Rhinolophus ferrumequinum: one gene and its partner. The protein of the gene in region 2 interacts with the protein of the main gene of each other region in a biochemical or structural test. Links are inferred from orthologs where the notes say so. Each region holds a gene or a part of one and is shown on either strand. Other genes may lie near its edges.

The links.
Region 1: the proteins of PEX19 (region 2) and PEX13 form a complex in vitro, tested with the Homo sapiens proteins (2 studies listed by BioGRID and IntAct, with this or other methods). The link is inferred for Rhinolophus ferrumequinum from reciprocal best matches to the Homo sapiens genes PEX19 and PEX13.

What each region holds. Positions count from the first base shown.
Region 1 is NC_046296.1:27,976,017-27,983,650, forward strand, and holds the start of PEX13 (peroxisome biogenesis factor 13), read right to left. Parts: upstream 3,009-7,634; 5' UTR 2,820-3,008; coding exon 2,728-2,819; intron 1-2,727. Other genes in the region: tRNA pseudouridine synthase Pus10, read left to right, coding at 6,306-6,431. UniProt on the Homo sapiens protein: Component of the PEX13-PEX14 docking complex, a translocon channel that specifically mediates the import of peroxisomal cargo proteins bound to PEX5 receptor.
Region 2 is NC_046305.1:28,254,557-28,262,726, forward strand, and holds the start of PEX19 (peroxisomal biogenesis factor 19), read left to right. Parts: upstream 1-4,976; 5' UTR 4,977-4,989; coding exon of another isoform or gene 4,990-5,059; intron 5,060-5,540; 5' UTR 5,541-5,599; coding exon 5,600-5,771; intron 5,772-6,498; coding exon 6,499-6,608; intron 6,609-7,024; coding exon 7,025-7,190; intron 7,191-7,619; coding exon 7,620-7,705; intron 7,706-7,923; coding exon 7,924-8,085; intron 8,086-8,170. Other genes in the region: COPA (coatomer subunit alpha), read left to right, coding at 194-388, 659-718. UniProt on the Homo sapiens protein: Necessary for early peroxisomal biogenesis. Acts both as a cytosolic chaperone and as an import receptor for peroxisomal membrane proteins (PMPs).

The DNA of each region.
Region 1 (7,634 bases), on a different chromosome or scaffold from region 2:
CTAGAAGAGAGTTCTTCAGAAAAATATACCCAGAATGGAGCATGAGTAACAAAAGCATACAAACAAAAAAGTGCCAGATACAGATGTACAGTGAATATATGTGATTGTATTCGAAGGAGTGAAATGATGGGCAGAAGCAATATTTAAAGAGATCATGTCTCAGAGACTTTTCTGAAACTAATGAAAGACATCAAGTCAGATTCAAGAATCTCTATGATTCTTGAAACTCCCCCCCCCAAAAAAAAGAACACAAAGAAAACCAGTGAGGTTTAACAAAGTGTAACTCCTGAAAACCAAAAACAAAGAGAAAATCTTGAAAGCACCCAGAAGAAAAAAGATTCCTTTTGAAGGAGTAAGAATAAGACTGAGATGACCAAAACTGTTAGAAAGCTGACAGGGAAAGAAAAAAAAAAAAAAAAAGGAAGCCATGAAAAATGTAGGTCCCTTGATGACAATGTTGAATTAACAGATCTCTTCACTTCTTGCTAATTAAACAATAAATGTCTTAATAGTCCACAGCATAGCAAATCATAAATTGTTACTTGTAGAAGAAACTATTCTTGATCTAATGTTTAATAGCAGTTTCAGAAGAAGAGATGTGAAAGAATAGTGCTCAAACAATACTTAGAGATATAAATGGTAAGAATTTTCCTGAATTAAAGAAAGGTATGTATCCTTGGGCTGAACACTGGGGTACTGAGCATGAATACTGTAGCTACTCAGCAGGAGGAAAAAATATAAATGTGTATACGAGGCTGACAATTTACGCTAACGAACTCATCCTAGAAAAAGTGCTACATACCTCACTGCTGAATATCACTATGGTCACCTTTGAAGTACTCCCCTTGGGAAGCTATGCACTGATGCCAGCACCTAGTCCACCCTTCAAAGCAACTTTGGAACTCTTTTCTGGAATGGCCATCAGAGCTGTCGTCGTATTACCCTTGATGTCCTGAATGTCATCAAAATGTCTTCCTTCCAATATTTGCTTTATCTTCGGGTAAAGAAAGAAGTCACTGGGGGCCAGATCAGGTGAGTAGGGAGGGTGTTCCAATATAGTTATTTGTTTACTGGCTAAAAAGTCCCTCACAGACAGTGCCGTGTGAGCTGGTGCACTGTCATGATGCAAGAACCATGAATTGTTGGCGAAAAGTTCAGGTCATGTAACTTTTTCATGCAGCCTTTTCAGCACTTCCAAATAGCAAACTTGGTTAACTGTTTGTCCAGTTGGTACAAATTCATAGTGAATAATCCCTCTGATATCAAAAAAGGTTAGCAACTTCGTTGCAACAAATTCGTGAACTTAATTGTCAGACTTCGTATATACTTTTAATATAGTCATATATACCATGTTTCCCCGAAAATAAGACCGGCTAGGTATTACTTTCGGGGAAACATGGTACGTAAAATGTACATACAAACCTAAGTACTAAAATATAAAATAAAGTATAAAAACTGTTGGGTATCCTAAACACCAAATAGGTGCAGTAGTTACTGCAGGAAAGAGGAATGAGAGAGTTTATCTGTTTCTTTAATTTTTTTTTTTTAATCTGAGGCAAATCTGGCAAAACATTATTTCTTAAAGGTTGGAGTGAATACACATGTATTCATCATCTTACTCTCTATCGGTCTCTATGCATTTAAAATAATTCACAATGAAAAAAAGGGGGGAAATGGTTCATTTTAGATAAACAGAAATTTAACAAATGCAAAAATAAAACCCCTCTCTTCCAAAGAGCTGTCTAGATTTTTTTAATAAGTCAAATCACTTATAAAAAGGGTAGTACAAACTGTCACCACGGCTTAACCGCATAATTAAAGCTTATTAATTGCTAAGTATTTATTATTATTAAATTAAGTAGCTGTTGTGTTCAAGCATCTTAGCGTTTAAATAAAAGACTACAACATTTTGGAATAGAGCAGAAATACATTCCATTATGTCAGGGATTTGTGTGTGTTAGGTGTTGTGACATTCGAGTCTAATTATCTGAATTAAGATGTCCAGATCCACCCAACGCAAAACACATAAGGCTGTGAAACTCTTTTCTTTATGCTATTCCAATTCTTGAGTTGTAGATCTATTTAATACTGACTAAAAGCAAACAAAAAAACACAGGCCTTGGAAAAATCACACACTATTTTACACACAGAGGCCATCCAAAAGCCTCAGATTTAGAACTCCCGCTTTAAAGTTGCTTCTCAAAATCTCTGCCCGAAACGTTGCAGAGTTATGCTGGAAAAGAACGGAAAGTGTAGTGGCTTAGGTTTCAGCTGCGTAAAAGTGACCTTTTCGGCTTTCAACAGCTCGAGAGAGTAAAAGCTTTAGAGAGACTGTTCTCCCCATCGAGCTGGGACTAGGCAAACGCCACTCTCCTGTTACAGATCAAGAGTCTAACGCTTTAAAAGGGGGTCCAGCGGTACCGTCAAGGTGTCCCGCAAACAGAAAGGGGTAGGAAGCCGCTCCCTTTCTTCCAAGCACTGGGATCCAGAGAGACACCCAGGAGCTCCCAGAAGAACGTCGCTACCGAGAGAAGTCGGGTCAGAAACTGCTGTCAGACACCGAAATTCTCCCCTTAGGCCGCCCTGGGCCCCATCTCTACCCCGCAAGGTTAGGGGGCTGGTAGAGAGGGGGAGGGGAAACCTGGCCCCAACAACGGCCTCAACCGCCTCCAGCCAATTCCCCGCTCCGGCCCACCAAATTCGCGGCCTAAAGTATCCCACACTTACTGGAAATTGGGGCCGGGTCCTGGTCCCGGCCCGGCCCCCGGAATTCGGCGGATCTCCCAGGGCTTCGGGGGAGGCGGCGGCTGGGACGCCATCTCCTCCGCCTCCTCTCGGCTGCCGCTGGGAGTTTGGACTCTCCAGGCCTGAGTGCACCCGCACCTCGCGCACCAGGCACAATGGGCAGAACACCGAGCCTTCTACCCGGCCCACACCAGCAGTCAATACTTGGCTGTGGTGTTTTGCCAGCTAGGACCAGAGGATAGGAGGATGTCACTATCGTGGGGGGTAGGGCGGAGGGAAGGCTCTCATTTGCCCTAGAAAGAATTTCTATTCTAAACTTCACCGATAAGGTAAGGGTTCATCGATATTTCGGGCAGCTGCTACAATGTCTTAGACATCGGAGTCTCTCGGAGGCTTCTCGGGGACTTGTCCGGTTTAGGCCCGGAATTGCGTTCCAGGCACCCCTACACCCGCGGGAGAGGCGGGGTGTGTGGCAGCAGGCCAGGCGGTTTTACTGGTATTTCTGCTAACAAGCAGGGGACAGTTCACTCAGTCCTCCCGAGAGGGGCTGGTACTTTCATTTCTAAAGCTCTCGTTTCCTCGGGGAACACAATTTCTAGCGCAATAGGTGCGTTGTCTTTAGTCTTCCCCGTTCCCTGTGAGGACCGTAAAGGGTTAAATCTCAGGCTCCGGCGTCGTGGGAGAAGGTGAGGCAGGGAGATCTGAGGTCAAGGGGTGCGGACTGGGTGCAGGAGAGGTGTGGATGGAGGGGGTCGTTTTCTTCCTGCGTGGAGGATCTTTGTTAGCAAGGATGACTGAGTGGGAAGTTTTTTGAACTTGACAGAAGCGGGGGAAAGGTCTTGTCTGGCTAAAAAAGAGAGTCGAGGTTAGATCTTGGATGAATTTCCGGGGGTTTAGAGTGGATTCCACAGCTGAGTGCATCCGTAGCGAAATGGAGTTGTCAGCGCCTCCTTCTTTGGAAATCCACACCCCACCCCACCCCCACGAGACGAATGACACCCTGCAGTATGGAATGAGTTTTAAAATATCACGGGAAGTGAGACAGCCTGGTTGTTTTGGTGGTTTTTCACATGCCTTGCTCCTTCTCTATTTGCAATGAATTGTTTCTGTAATATTCCGAGAGGTGAAAAAAAAGTTCTTCCTTTCCTCCAGTAAACCAGAGTCTGGGCTAGTTATTATTGGTTTTGGAGAAGGGACTCTGTCCCCTTGGGGATCCTGACACATGGGAGAAAGTTTTGTTGCAATGACTGGTTCCATTTCTTTCTGTAAAACAAACACGTAAACGAAAAGCAAAAATCTTAAAGGCAACCAACAATGAGATGCATTTCTCAGGGCTTGCTTTCAAAGATAATAAACCTCATATGGAACAACCGATTTCTGATGTCTTTATGAAATCCTATCATTTCAGTGCTGTATATAAAATGAAACAACCAAATTTAAGGCATGGCGTATTTCCTCCTTTCAGTGTTAACGTTCTTGTGAAGCCGCTAGATTGTTGCTAAGTGAAAGTGTTCTTGAGAGCTTTGTTAAGTCCATTCAATTAATAACACATACACACTCAATAGTGTTTTTGTTGTTGTTTTGTTTTGTTTAAGACCTCTTCAAATTACTCAGGACAGGAGGTTTCCTAATTCTCAAAAGGTTTGGGAACTTCTCAGAGCAAAGAGGTAATGTATCATACCTTGCGTGATAACTTTATTCTAGTGAACCTATTGGAGAAATAAACATTGTCTTTAAGCAGAAGGAAAGAAAGTATACATTTTAATAAAACTATTTAACTTCAGTCTCCAGGGAAATCATTGATACAAACTGTCTTTTTAAGCACTTACTCATCTCTTTATTTACTGGGGAGGAGGGGTTATTTGTTTCTCTTTCTGAGTTAAAGGTTAATTCTGAATTAAATGAAATCCTCGACCTTAACCAATGGAAAGGAGTAAAGATAAAATAAAGGGTGAAACAGAAACAGTTCCTCTGTGAGGGGAGTGCAGTGAGGGATACACTTTAAAGGCTGATAATCAGCCCCTCACAGAATCTCAACCCTTTCTCAGCATCAAACTAGCAGGTTAAAAGGACTGGGAAAGGATTCAGATCACTTGTCAAAAATAATGACCACACAGAGTTCATCATGTAGAGAGTGTTCTCCGAATATTGTGTACTTTCATGAAAATTTCCCGGAGCCCAGATTTACTTACACAACCTTAAATTGGTGTTTCCCAGTCTGGTGTGTCCTAATTTTCTTCTCTTCCTCTCCCTGCCAACTCACATATTCTAGCTAGAACCCAGCTAGAGGCAATCTGTTTGTGGTTGTTTGTTTGTTTTTTTGTAGTCCTGGCTGCTGAACTGTTTTTTATGGTGAAGAGTTTTGTAGAATTATATACCTGTCTTCCTCATTATTTTGTGTCAAGGATCTACTCTTGATAAGTGGCCACAAACATTTAGAAACTTGCAAGTAAGTAGTGGGTTTTAAAGGGCTGAAAAAACACAAATTCTGAAAATTACATTTTCATAGTAAGCAGTTAATAAGAGCTTCAGCCTCCCACAAATTTTAAGCAAGTTCATTTGAATTAATGAAACTGCACAAATTAAAAGTTACTACAGTCTTGTATCAGTGTGACCACAGTAAACCATACCACATTACCATACAATCATTGTTTTACAAAACATTGCTAGTTCCTCATTGTAAAGTAATGTGGACTGCTTCATTAATCAGAAGAACATCTATTTTTGCCAAACAGACTGATTAGGTAATTTAATTTTTAATACCCCTCCTTCCTGGCAACAAGAGAGTTACATTGGATCCCCTCTTCTCTATGTAGTATTTGTTTCTAAGCGAGTTTATAAAAAAAAAAAGTTGCAAAAAGTAGCAACTTGTTTCAGATAACAATTACTCTTAAATATTTTGTGTTTAATTTGTTTTTGTTGGAGGTTTTACTTGTGTGTGAAAAGATTTTTCTCCTTTTGCTGGTGGTTGTCATTTAGTTATTTCATCAAAGTAAAATTGACATTTTTGGATCTACTGATCAATTTGTTTTAAATACTTGACTGCTTAGCTATCATGACGGTTAGTCAAGAATTATACAATATAGATTTATGTGATTTTTTTTCTAGCAAACTCATTTTTCATTTATAATAGGAAAAGTTTATTGAATTTACTACTCTGTGTTCTCAAAAATACTAAATGGTACGAAATAAAAAGCAAATTTTTACTCTGTACTCTTGTTTTCATTACCCATGTCAGAGAAAACCATTCTTTATTAATAATTTTATTTTTATTTCTTTTGATTGATTTAGTTATATTGATGTACTTTATCATAATCCAGAATGCTAAACTAAATTCCTTGACAGTTAGAAACTTTTACCTGATTCATCTAATTTCCTTCACGTTTATGTTTCAATATGCACATAATGAAAGGGACATTATTGGAAAGTATGAAATAGCGTTTTTCAAATAATAGCTAGTTTTTATCCCTAAAGGTGATAACATATTTGTCTGTGAAGTAAAACACGAAAGATGATCATTAGCTTTACTTTTTATTTCTTTCTAGTTATAATTATTCAATATGTTCCCGCTGACTGAGGAAAACAAGCATGTGGCCCAGTTGTTGCTCAGTACTGGGACTTGTCCAAGATGTATCTTCAGATTCTGTGGTGTGGATTTTCATGCACCTTACAAACTTTCCTATGAGGTATTTTCATTTTTTTTAAGTTAAGAAAGTTTTTAAATGAATGCCTGTACATTAGAAGGCAAATATCTATCCATAACTTCATTAAATTTAAAAAACTATAATAATTACTGATAATGTTGATTTTGGAATTTCCATTACCATAAAATGTAAGTTCTTTTTTAAGTGATTATATGTAGCGTTTAATATAGTCATATCTTTGTGGAGCAATTCTCTGGTGCGTTTACTGTTTGTACAGACCTTTCCTAAAGAGTATCTAGACAGAATATCACAAAATAGTGCTTCTCACCAGATATTAGTGAGATGTAACAGAGGGGGGTGATAGTCCTGAGATCTTCTATTAAGTGGAAGCATTGTGGATTTGGTTGCCTTTTTTTCTTTTTCTGTTTTCTATATTATCATTTTACTTACAGAGGCATTTGCAATCCTCTAGAAGTAAATGCTATCAAAATCATTATTTACTGCTATTAATAACAACAAAAGTAATATACAGAGATCTTTAACATTTATGGTAAAATACAGAGAGCTTTGACATTTAATAGAATACTTCCATATAAAATATGTAACATTTTATGAAATATATTTGATCCTAGTAGTGATTTTTTTTCAGAGACAGATAGTAATTATATATGTGTATATATACGTATATACACACACACACATATAGCTGTATAAACATGAACACACAGTTTCTTATAATTTTTAAAATATGCCCAGGAGTTAGCAACAGTAGTCATTTTTCCTATGTATTAGTTGTTTCTATTATTTTGGAAATAATTATATCTAATATTCATATAGCATTATTATATGTCAACCTCTCATATAATCCTCATAGTGATCTATTAGGTAAGTACATACTATGATTGTCTCTATTTTCAGATGAAGAAACTGAGGCACAGAGAGGTTAAGCAACCTGCCCAAAGTTACACAGCTATTAAGTGAGCAAGCTAGGATATGAACTGTCTGTCTGAATCCAAAGCCTAGAATTTGGAGCTAGAAGACACGGATTTGAATCCCAGTCTCATCAATTTCCACCTTCAGTTTTCTCCTCTGTAAATGGGAATGATGATAACATCCACCTCACAGGATTTTAAGGGACAATATCTAATAACGTATGTGAAAACATTTTGAAAACTGGAAATAGTACATATGCTATGATGATTAGTATATATGTGTATATTCATTTATACACACTATGACCATAAA
Region 2 (8,170 bases):
AAAGCCTGGTACCAGAGGAATGGTGATTGTTATCCCTTCATGTATGTCCTGTACGGAGGACATATTCTGAATTCATTAGTACAGTTGCATCCTGCATCAAATAAACTGCTAAACCATGAAGATGAGATCATTTGAGTTGTGGTGTGCAGCTTTCAGTCCTCTTAAATAAATATTCCTTCCCTCCTATCTTTAGACCCGCAAAATCCTGTCTGCCTGTGAGAAGAACCCCACAGATGTCTACCAGCTCAATTATGACATGCACAACCCTTTCGATATCTGTGCTGCATCTTATCGGCCCATCTACCGTGGAAAGCCAGTGGAGAAATGTCCACTCAGTGGAGCCTGCTATTGCCCGGAGTTCAAGGGTCAAATCTGCAGGGTCACTACAGTAAGTACTGTCCTTGAGAAATGCATCCAGAATATTGAGGGAAGGTGAACGAGAAAGAAGCATGTTGGTCCTTTTTCTCCTCTATTTGCCCCTAGCTCCTGGAGACAGTGATACTGGAGAAAGCTAGAACTTCTCCCCATTGCTCTTTACCAATCAGTAACAAACAATAACAAATCACTCTACTGTGCTCATTGAGGAGTGGAGGGAGTAAGCTTTCTAGGCTTCTCACCCTCACAAACCCGTAAATTTTTCTTGTTTCCTCTTCTACAGGTGACAGAGATTGGCAAAGATGTGATTGGTTTAAGGATTAGTCCTCTGCAGTTTCGCTAAGGCCCTCTTTGTGTGTAAAGGGTCAATCACCATACCATCCGCCTCCCACTGCCCCAGAGAATTAGTCTCTGTGTCCTTGTAACTCCCTGTTCCTTAACTACCTTTCAAATTGACATTTAGCTCTCCCTACCCTAAAATGTAGTGTCCTTTTCTCTTCTTCTGTGGCTAATCAAATGTCTAAACTTGACTTTTCTTTTTTTTTTTTTTTGCCTTTGAGGACCTTTCATTCTTTCAAGGTCACTACTATAGTTGCAGTCACAATTGCAGTCACAGTTGAACTTGCCTTCCCAGCTTAGCTCTTTCAAGAAACAAATGAAAACTTAGTGGTGAACATTTGTTTAGTAAATTCCTTCAATATTTATCTTTTTCCTCTTCACCACCTTTTTTCCTTTTTTGCTAGAAAGGAATGGGATATAATAAATAAGATAGCATCTTTTGCTCAATCACAGCAAACTCTTAGCCATCCCCCATTTTAAACTCCCAGGCAGGTACCCTCTGTGTGCCCAGAAACTTAAAGTCTAAGAAGAAACTTTGGCTTTTCAAAAACGCACATCCCTTTTTATTGATTTGTTCTTTACAACCATTGTTCTTATTTTTTGTTTCTCACACTAAATAAATTTCTACAAGAATTTTATGGCTTGCTATTTGTTTCCTGGATACGCTCATGTTCCTGCTTACTCCATGCAGCTGCCCCACCAAAGCAGATGTCTTTCCTTCGATAATTATTTCTAATTACAAAATAATAAATACCCGTTGTTAAATTTTTTTTCCCATAGGATATATTAAACTGCTATGAGAATGGTAGAAAGTAAGTGGCTCCCTCATTTCATCATTGAACTGCATCCTTCTATCTATTGCTGATTATACCAATATTTATTGAGCACCTGTAACTGTTCTGGATGTTTTATATATCAGATTAATTAGTATTAAACACGTTGTATTTATTACAATTATTATATTAGCAATACAGTATTTTGCTTGTTATGTGCTAAGACTATACAGTGACATGCTGTGCCTTTGATTAAAGTATGTACTTTTTCATTTTAAATTCATGTTTTCAATAAACAGTACACTCATATGATTCAAAAATCAGTAAATGTAAAAAGCTATTTTGTGACGTCTTCCTCCCATCCCTTTCCTCAGCCACATAGTTCCTATCACCTTCCCCAAAACAAGAAACCACTGTTGTTAGCTTCCTTATCCTTCCAGAGATTTATGTATATACAAACAGATAGGAATATGTTTCTCCCTATCCCCCTGTTATACATAAATGGAAGCAGGCTATTTAAAGATTTTGCACCTTATTAATGTTTTCACTTAACATATTTTAGGGATTTTTTTTTCATCTCATTATATTAGAGAGCTTCACTCTTTTTTACTTCTTTGCATAGTGTACCATGTATTATTTACTACGATTTATGTAAGTTGCCTTCTTGATGGATATTTGAGTTATTTCCAGTCTATCTCTGGCTATTATAACAAGGCTGCAATGAATAACTTGAACACACATTATACAGGTGGGGGATAAACTAGAAATGGAATTCCTACGTCAAAGAGCACAGGCCTTTATTTTTCTTTTTAGCTTTAAGAGTCGCTTTCTAAACATAGTATCCCCAAGCTGAGCCTGTTTTTTCAAAAATTTGCATACTACTTTGATAACATTTTCTCAAGTTATAAGCATTCTTTATATATATATAAATTTTTTTATTTTTATTGTTTATTGTTTTAACTTTTAATGGGGGAATACTGGGGAACAGTGTGTTTCTCCAGGGCTTATCAGCTCCAAGTCGTCGTCCTTCAGTCTAGTGGAGGGCACAGCTCAGCTCCAAGTCCAGTCACTGTTTTCAATCTTTAGTTACAGGGGGCGCAGCCCACCATCCCATGTGGGAATTGAACCAGCAACCTTATTGTTAAGAGCTCACACTCTAACCAATTGAGCCATCCGGCCGCCCCTCTGGCAGCTCAGCGACCGCTCGTTGCCTTCAATCTAGTTGTGGAGGGCGCAGCTCTCTGGCCAATGTGGGAATTGAACTGGCAACCCTGTTGTTCAGAGCACGCGCTCTAACCAACTGAGCCATCTGGCCGCCCTGCATTCTTTCTGTAAACAAGCAAATTGGTGATACATTTTGGCAAAAAAATTTTTTTCTATGTTTAAAAATTAAATTACAAAATTAACTTCACATATAAATATAAACATTCTGAACTCAGGGATATGAAAAAAGTGTGCAATCTGTGCCTCTTGAAGCTTAGGGAATTGGGGAAACAACATGGATATATGTGAAATAATTGTGAATACCGGGCAAGAATTTGAAGTCGGTAAATAAACAGTGGAAAGCCATTATATCCTTAAGCGAGAGAGTGATATAAAAAAAAATGCTGTAAATTACTTTTTTGCAACAGTGTTCACTATACATTAGAAAGGCAGAAGGTGAGTAAATATGAGATGAAGTGTTAGGAGTATCAGTAGTAAAAACAAAAGCAGAAGCAAGTTTAAGATACAAAGCAAAGAACCGTGCTTGTTTAGAACTCCATCTTAATCTTCTCAATTACCATCTAGTATTTTCCTTAACATGATTATATAGCCACATTAATGAAAAGCCAATAGAAATGCCTGTTATATTTTTAAACATGCACTTGATATACCATGCTTCCCTGAAAATAAGACCTAACTGGAAAATCAGCTCTAATGTATCTTTTGGAACAAAAATTAATATAAGACCCGGTCTTATTTTACTATAAGACCGGGTCTTATATTAATTTTTGTTCCAAAAGACATTAGAGCTGATTGCCCAGCGAGGTCTTATTTTCGGGGAAACACGGTAGTTATAGTTATATTAGGCATACACATGTAAGCAGTTTGGAATTGAATGAGCAAGTTAGCCTGTAATAAATTGTTACAAGTGTTGATTATAGAACTATTGAAAAGTACCTTGGAGTCCCAACTGTATTGTTACATACTTGTAATCTGAGGTCTAAATTGGTGAAGGGTTTTGAACAGAGTAATTTATTGACAGAGTTGGGTCTCCCAGTTCAGAATGTGTTCTCCCAAGTCACACTACTTGTGCTTAGAAGAATACAGTAGTTTTTGCACAGGTATGATTTTACAAGTCTGTGCCCTATCTGTAAAGGAAAGAAAACGTACCTAATCTGGTGCTTGACACAGTATTCAAGTGTTTGGAAAGCTAAGGATGAAAGTCATGAAGTGACTCTTTTCATTCTGATGTGATTTCTCCCTTTTAAACTTTATGGCACTTTACCCTGAGCTTTTTAAAGACACTTTCCTTGTGCCATTCTTACTGTGTGTATGTGTAGTCCTACCTCCAGCCTAATCCCCAGTCAGCAAGGGCTGATCCTGATTTATCTCTATCTTCCACTGTGAGCTGCAACAGGTCTTAAACAACAGCAGATGTCCTGTAAGTGCTAAAATAGATTTGTGTCTGAAGCAGTTTATGTATTATGACAGATCTGAATAGGAGAACAATCTCAGAGGAGGAAAGGGATGTCTAGAGTTGTCTCTATGTGAGCCTCTCCAACTTCACTCCATTGGAGGTTGCGTTCTGTACAGAGAAAAGGAGATGGATCAGGGAAGGCAGGTCTATTACTACTACATTCAAATTGCCCTCTTGTTCAGTCCAAGGTCCCAGAGTCTCATTTCCTGCCTGAATTGATTCAACCAACATTGAGTCGTAACAAGTCCTGGCCCTGTGTCCTTTAGTCTAACAGTTCTAATGGAGAATAGGAAAGGAGAGATGTCCATTAGGTCCCACAGAGAAACGTGTTTCATAAGGATCTGGGAGAACAAAGGATGGCCAATGAATGCCTACTAAGTTTTAGGCCCTAGCCTAGGAGCTGAGAATACAGCATTGAAGACAACAGGACGAAAATCCTTGCCATCACGGTGTTGAAATTCTAGGGGGGAGGGGTGGAACTGGGAAGGGGAGACAATAAGCAATATAAGTAAAATATATATTATGTCAGAAAGAGTTAAGTACTGAAAAAAATAATGGAAGAGCTACTTCTCTGGGTAATCAGGGAAACTGAATGAAAGGAAGCCAGGCCAGTAAGAAACCTAGCAAAAGATAACAGTAAGTTTCTATGTTAGTTCAATGATTCCTGGCGTAAGGGGAAAAAACCCACCCCAAATCGAGTTTCCTGTCCCTTTGGGGCGGCTCCGTACTGCCCCAAATTAGTATTGGTCGCAGAGGCGGAAAGGGTGGAGCGCGGGGGGCCTAGCGGAATCCCGCCTCCTACGGCGAGTCAGAGGTAGCAAGATGGCCGCCGCGGAGGAGGACTGTGCGGTCAGCGCCGAAGCGGACCGGGAATTGGAAGAGCTTCTGGAAAGTAAGAGTCCATAATGGAAAGAACCGAGGAGGGCGGGTATGAGAACCCATTCAAGGAGTTAAGTGAGCCTGAGATATTTGGGGCGGAGCGGGGAAGGCTGTCCAAAGATTGGACGGGTGCGGAGGGTCTGACTGCGATCCCGATTTCTGGGTCCCCCTCATCTTCCTCCGCGGCGGGAGCTGCGGCCTTCACGTTGGGCCCCTGAGAGCCCAGACCGTTGATCTCTCTGCCAGAGGGGAAACAGTAACCCAGGGGACTGCGTTTGACGATCCAGTTCCAAACCCTCCTTCCCTTTAGTAAGTTCTTGAAGTCGAACTTCATTCGGTCCTCGGTGGGCAGCAAACCAGACACTCGCAGATTGCTTACATTAACTCTTAACAAGCCCGTAGCTCACTCTGCTATGCACTGCCTTATCCTTAACATAAAAGACACTTTCCTGCTCCCAGTCCTTTCACCTTTGTCTCACCAGGCCCCTTTTCAGTTATTTCATCAGGTCAAAGCTGAAGCCGACTCCCTTGCCATTATTTTGAAAAATAGAGGATGAGAAGGTCTCAAGGAAGACAGTTCACCCTACTGAAAGAGGGTGGATGTTCTTTTCTTCCTGAACCCTGTCCTCCACTCCTCTTGGTTTCTTGCCCAGAGTGGAGCCAGTGCCCTTCCCCTAGGCCTGGCAAGCAGAAGGTAGTGAGGACACAGGCTTTTCAGGGCAGAGGTGAATATTTTTTTGTCTCTTGCCCAGTCACAGAGATGTGGGCAGGTGGAAGGACAACAGAAACAGTGAATAAGTGATTCAGCAACAGTGCCAAGTGATTCTGTGTGAATTATCTGCTCACAGTTATCTGCAGAGATGGGGCCAGAGGGAACTAGCTCTAGGAGCTTTGCCCAGGGAGGCCTAAGTTGAAGGATAAGAAAAGAGAGTTTAATGCCCTTCCCTGGAGTGCAGTATGGAGTCCCTCAGTTTCTAGTTGTATCAGGATCCATGAGGAGCTGGGTGGGACATTTGTGGCTTTTGCTTTCTTGCAGAAGATTATTCCTTTCAGGGATCCAGAGTGAGTTCAGGGGGTTAAGGACATTTGTGTTCTCTGTGCCTGTTAGATATTTGTATAAGATTTCTAGGGAATCATTAGAGTGTGGCAGGGAAGGCACTGTGTAGATGGAGATGTCTCTGCAGAACTTCTTTTAACCCTCTCCTCCCAGCTCTGAGAGAGATGCCTGTTCCTTAAGATGTTTCTTCCCCTTTGATCATAATAAATTAGGTAATGGGGAGGTAAGTGGGAGGCTTACTGAGGGGAGGGCCAGGAAAGGGACACTCAGAAAAAGAAAAATTTAGGAACGTGGGCAGTTTGAAAAATTGTTCTCTCAGTGCTTTACCCAGAAACCCCTCATTCCTTCATCCTCATCCATCCCCAAAACTCATACCATGTCTCTTGTCTCTGAAGGTGCTCTTGATGATTTCGATAAGGCCAAACCCTCCCCAGCACCCCCTCCTACCACTACAGCCCCTGATGCTTCAGGGACCCAGAAGAGATCGCCAGGAGACACTGCCAAAGTATAAATTCTACCCATTTAAGGGAGGGGAGGGGATGGCATGCAACTCTGAGCAGAGGTGGGGCAGGCCCCAGTGGGCCAGAGGGGAGTGAGGGGAGGGTGCCTTGGCCTCACACTGCTGAGTGCTCTTGCAGGCCTCAGTCCTTGTGAAACAGGGAATTGACTTGAGGTGGAGTTTAGAGATCTCAAGGGGATTCCTTAAGAAAGGAAATTTAAATGATTGGTTTGGGAATACCACTCCATACTGACAGATACCTTCTTGCTGTCCTTATTAAGAGAGGTCATTAGAATGTTCAGTGAAAGTGGGTAGGAAGAAGACACTGCATTTCTCAGAGCCTCTGCCTGTGGTTTCTGTCAGAAACCAGGTGCAGTGCAGTGCCAAGTAAGAGATGCATTTTGGCCACTCCTCCCCTGCAGGATGCCCTCTTCGCCTCCCAAGAGAAGTTTTTCCAGGAACTTTTCGACAGCGAGCTGGCTTCCCAAGCCACTGCAGAGTTCGAGAAGGCAATGAAGGAGTTGGCTGAGGAAGAGCCCCACCTGGTGGAACAGTTCCAAAAGCTCTCAGAGGCTGCTGGGAGAGTGGGTGAGGGGGGTGCCTGACAACTGGAAATATCTGAACAAATCTCTTCTTAAGTCATCGTTGCTTGAAAACCCCAAAATTCTTAGTGAAGTTGATAGTCATGATACCACTTCTATGGGGGTAGGGCAAGGAGATGGGAGGAAGGATGGGCACGCTGCTTAATGAAAGGGGTGAAATAAGTGGAAAGTAATAGGAAAGATTATTGAAAGCTGGTCATGTAAATGGTCGCAGTGTTTTCGAAGGTGTCATCATGGAGAACAAACTGACATGTAGTCCATGTAGATTGGTGAAAATGACTATAAAGATAACTATAAAGATTTGGAGTAATCGTGACTCACTAGTAAATGCTCCATGTCCAAGCTGGTAACCAGGTCAGCCTAGGTAAGCAAACAGTTAAAATCCTTAATGACCTTGGTTCTTTTGATCTCTTAGGCAGTGATGCGACTTCCCAACAAGAATTCACTTCTTGCCTAAAGGAGACACTAAGTGGACTAGCCAAAAATGCCACTGATCTGCAGGTGAGGGGGGGTGGGCAGGAATGGAACCACAAGGGGCCCACTCCTAGACACTTCACCAGCAGATTCTCAAAGACAGAGTTTCTTGGGTATCATCTCAAGTCTGTCTCTGCCTCACTGTTTTGCTATAGGCAAGTTTAAATAGTTCTTTCCCACCTGAAAGGGTAGTAAGCATCCCAAGAAGGCAATGTACTTGCTCATCTCTCTCCTGTCCTTTTTAGAACTCAGGCATGTCAGAAGAGGAGTTGACCAAAGCCATGGAAGGGTTGGGCATGGATGAAGGGGAAGGGGAAGGCAACATCCTCCCCATCATGCAGAGTATCATGCAGAACCTACTGTCCAAGGATGTGTTGTACCCATCACTGAGGGAGATCACAGAAAAGGTATGTGAACTTCTATTTCTGCTTTTCTTCCTTGCTCTCCTGTGGGCTAATTTGTCTCCTTAGAGACTGCAGAGATAGAGAAACG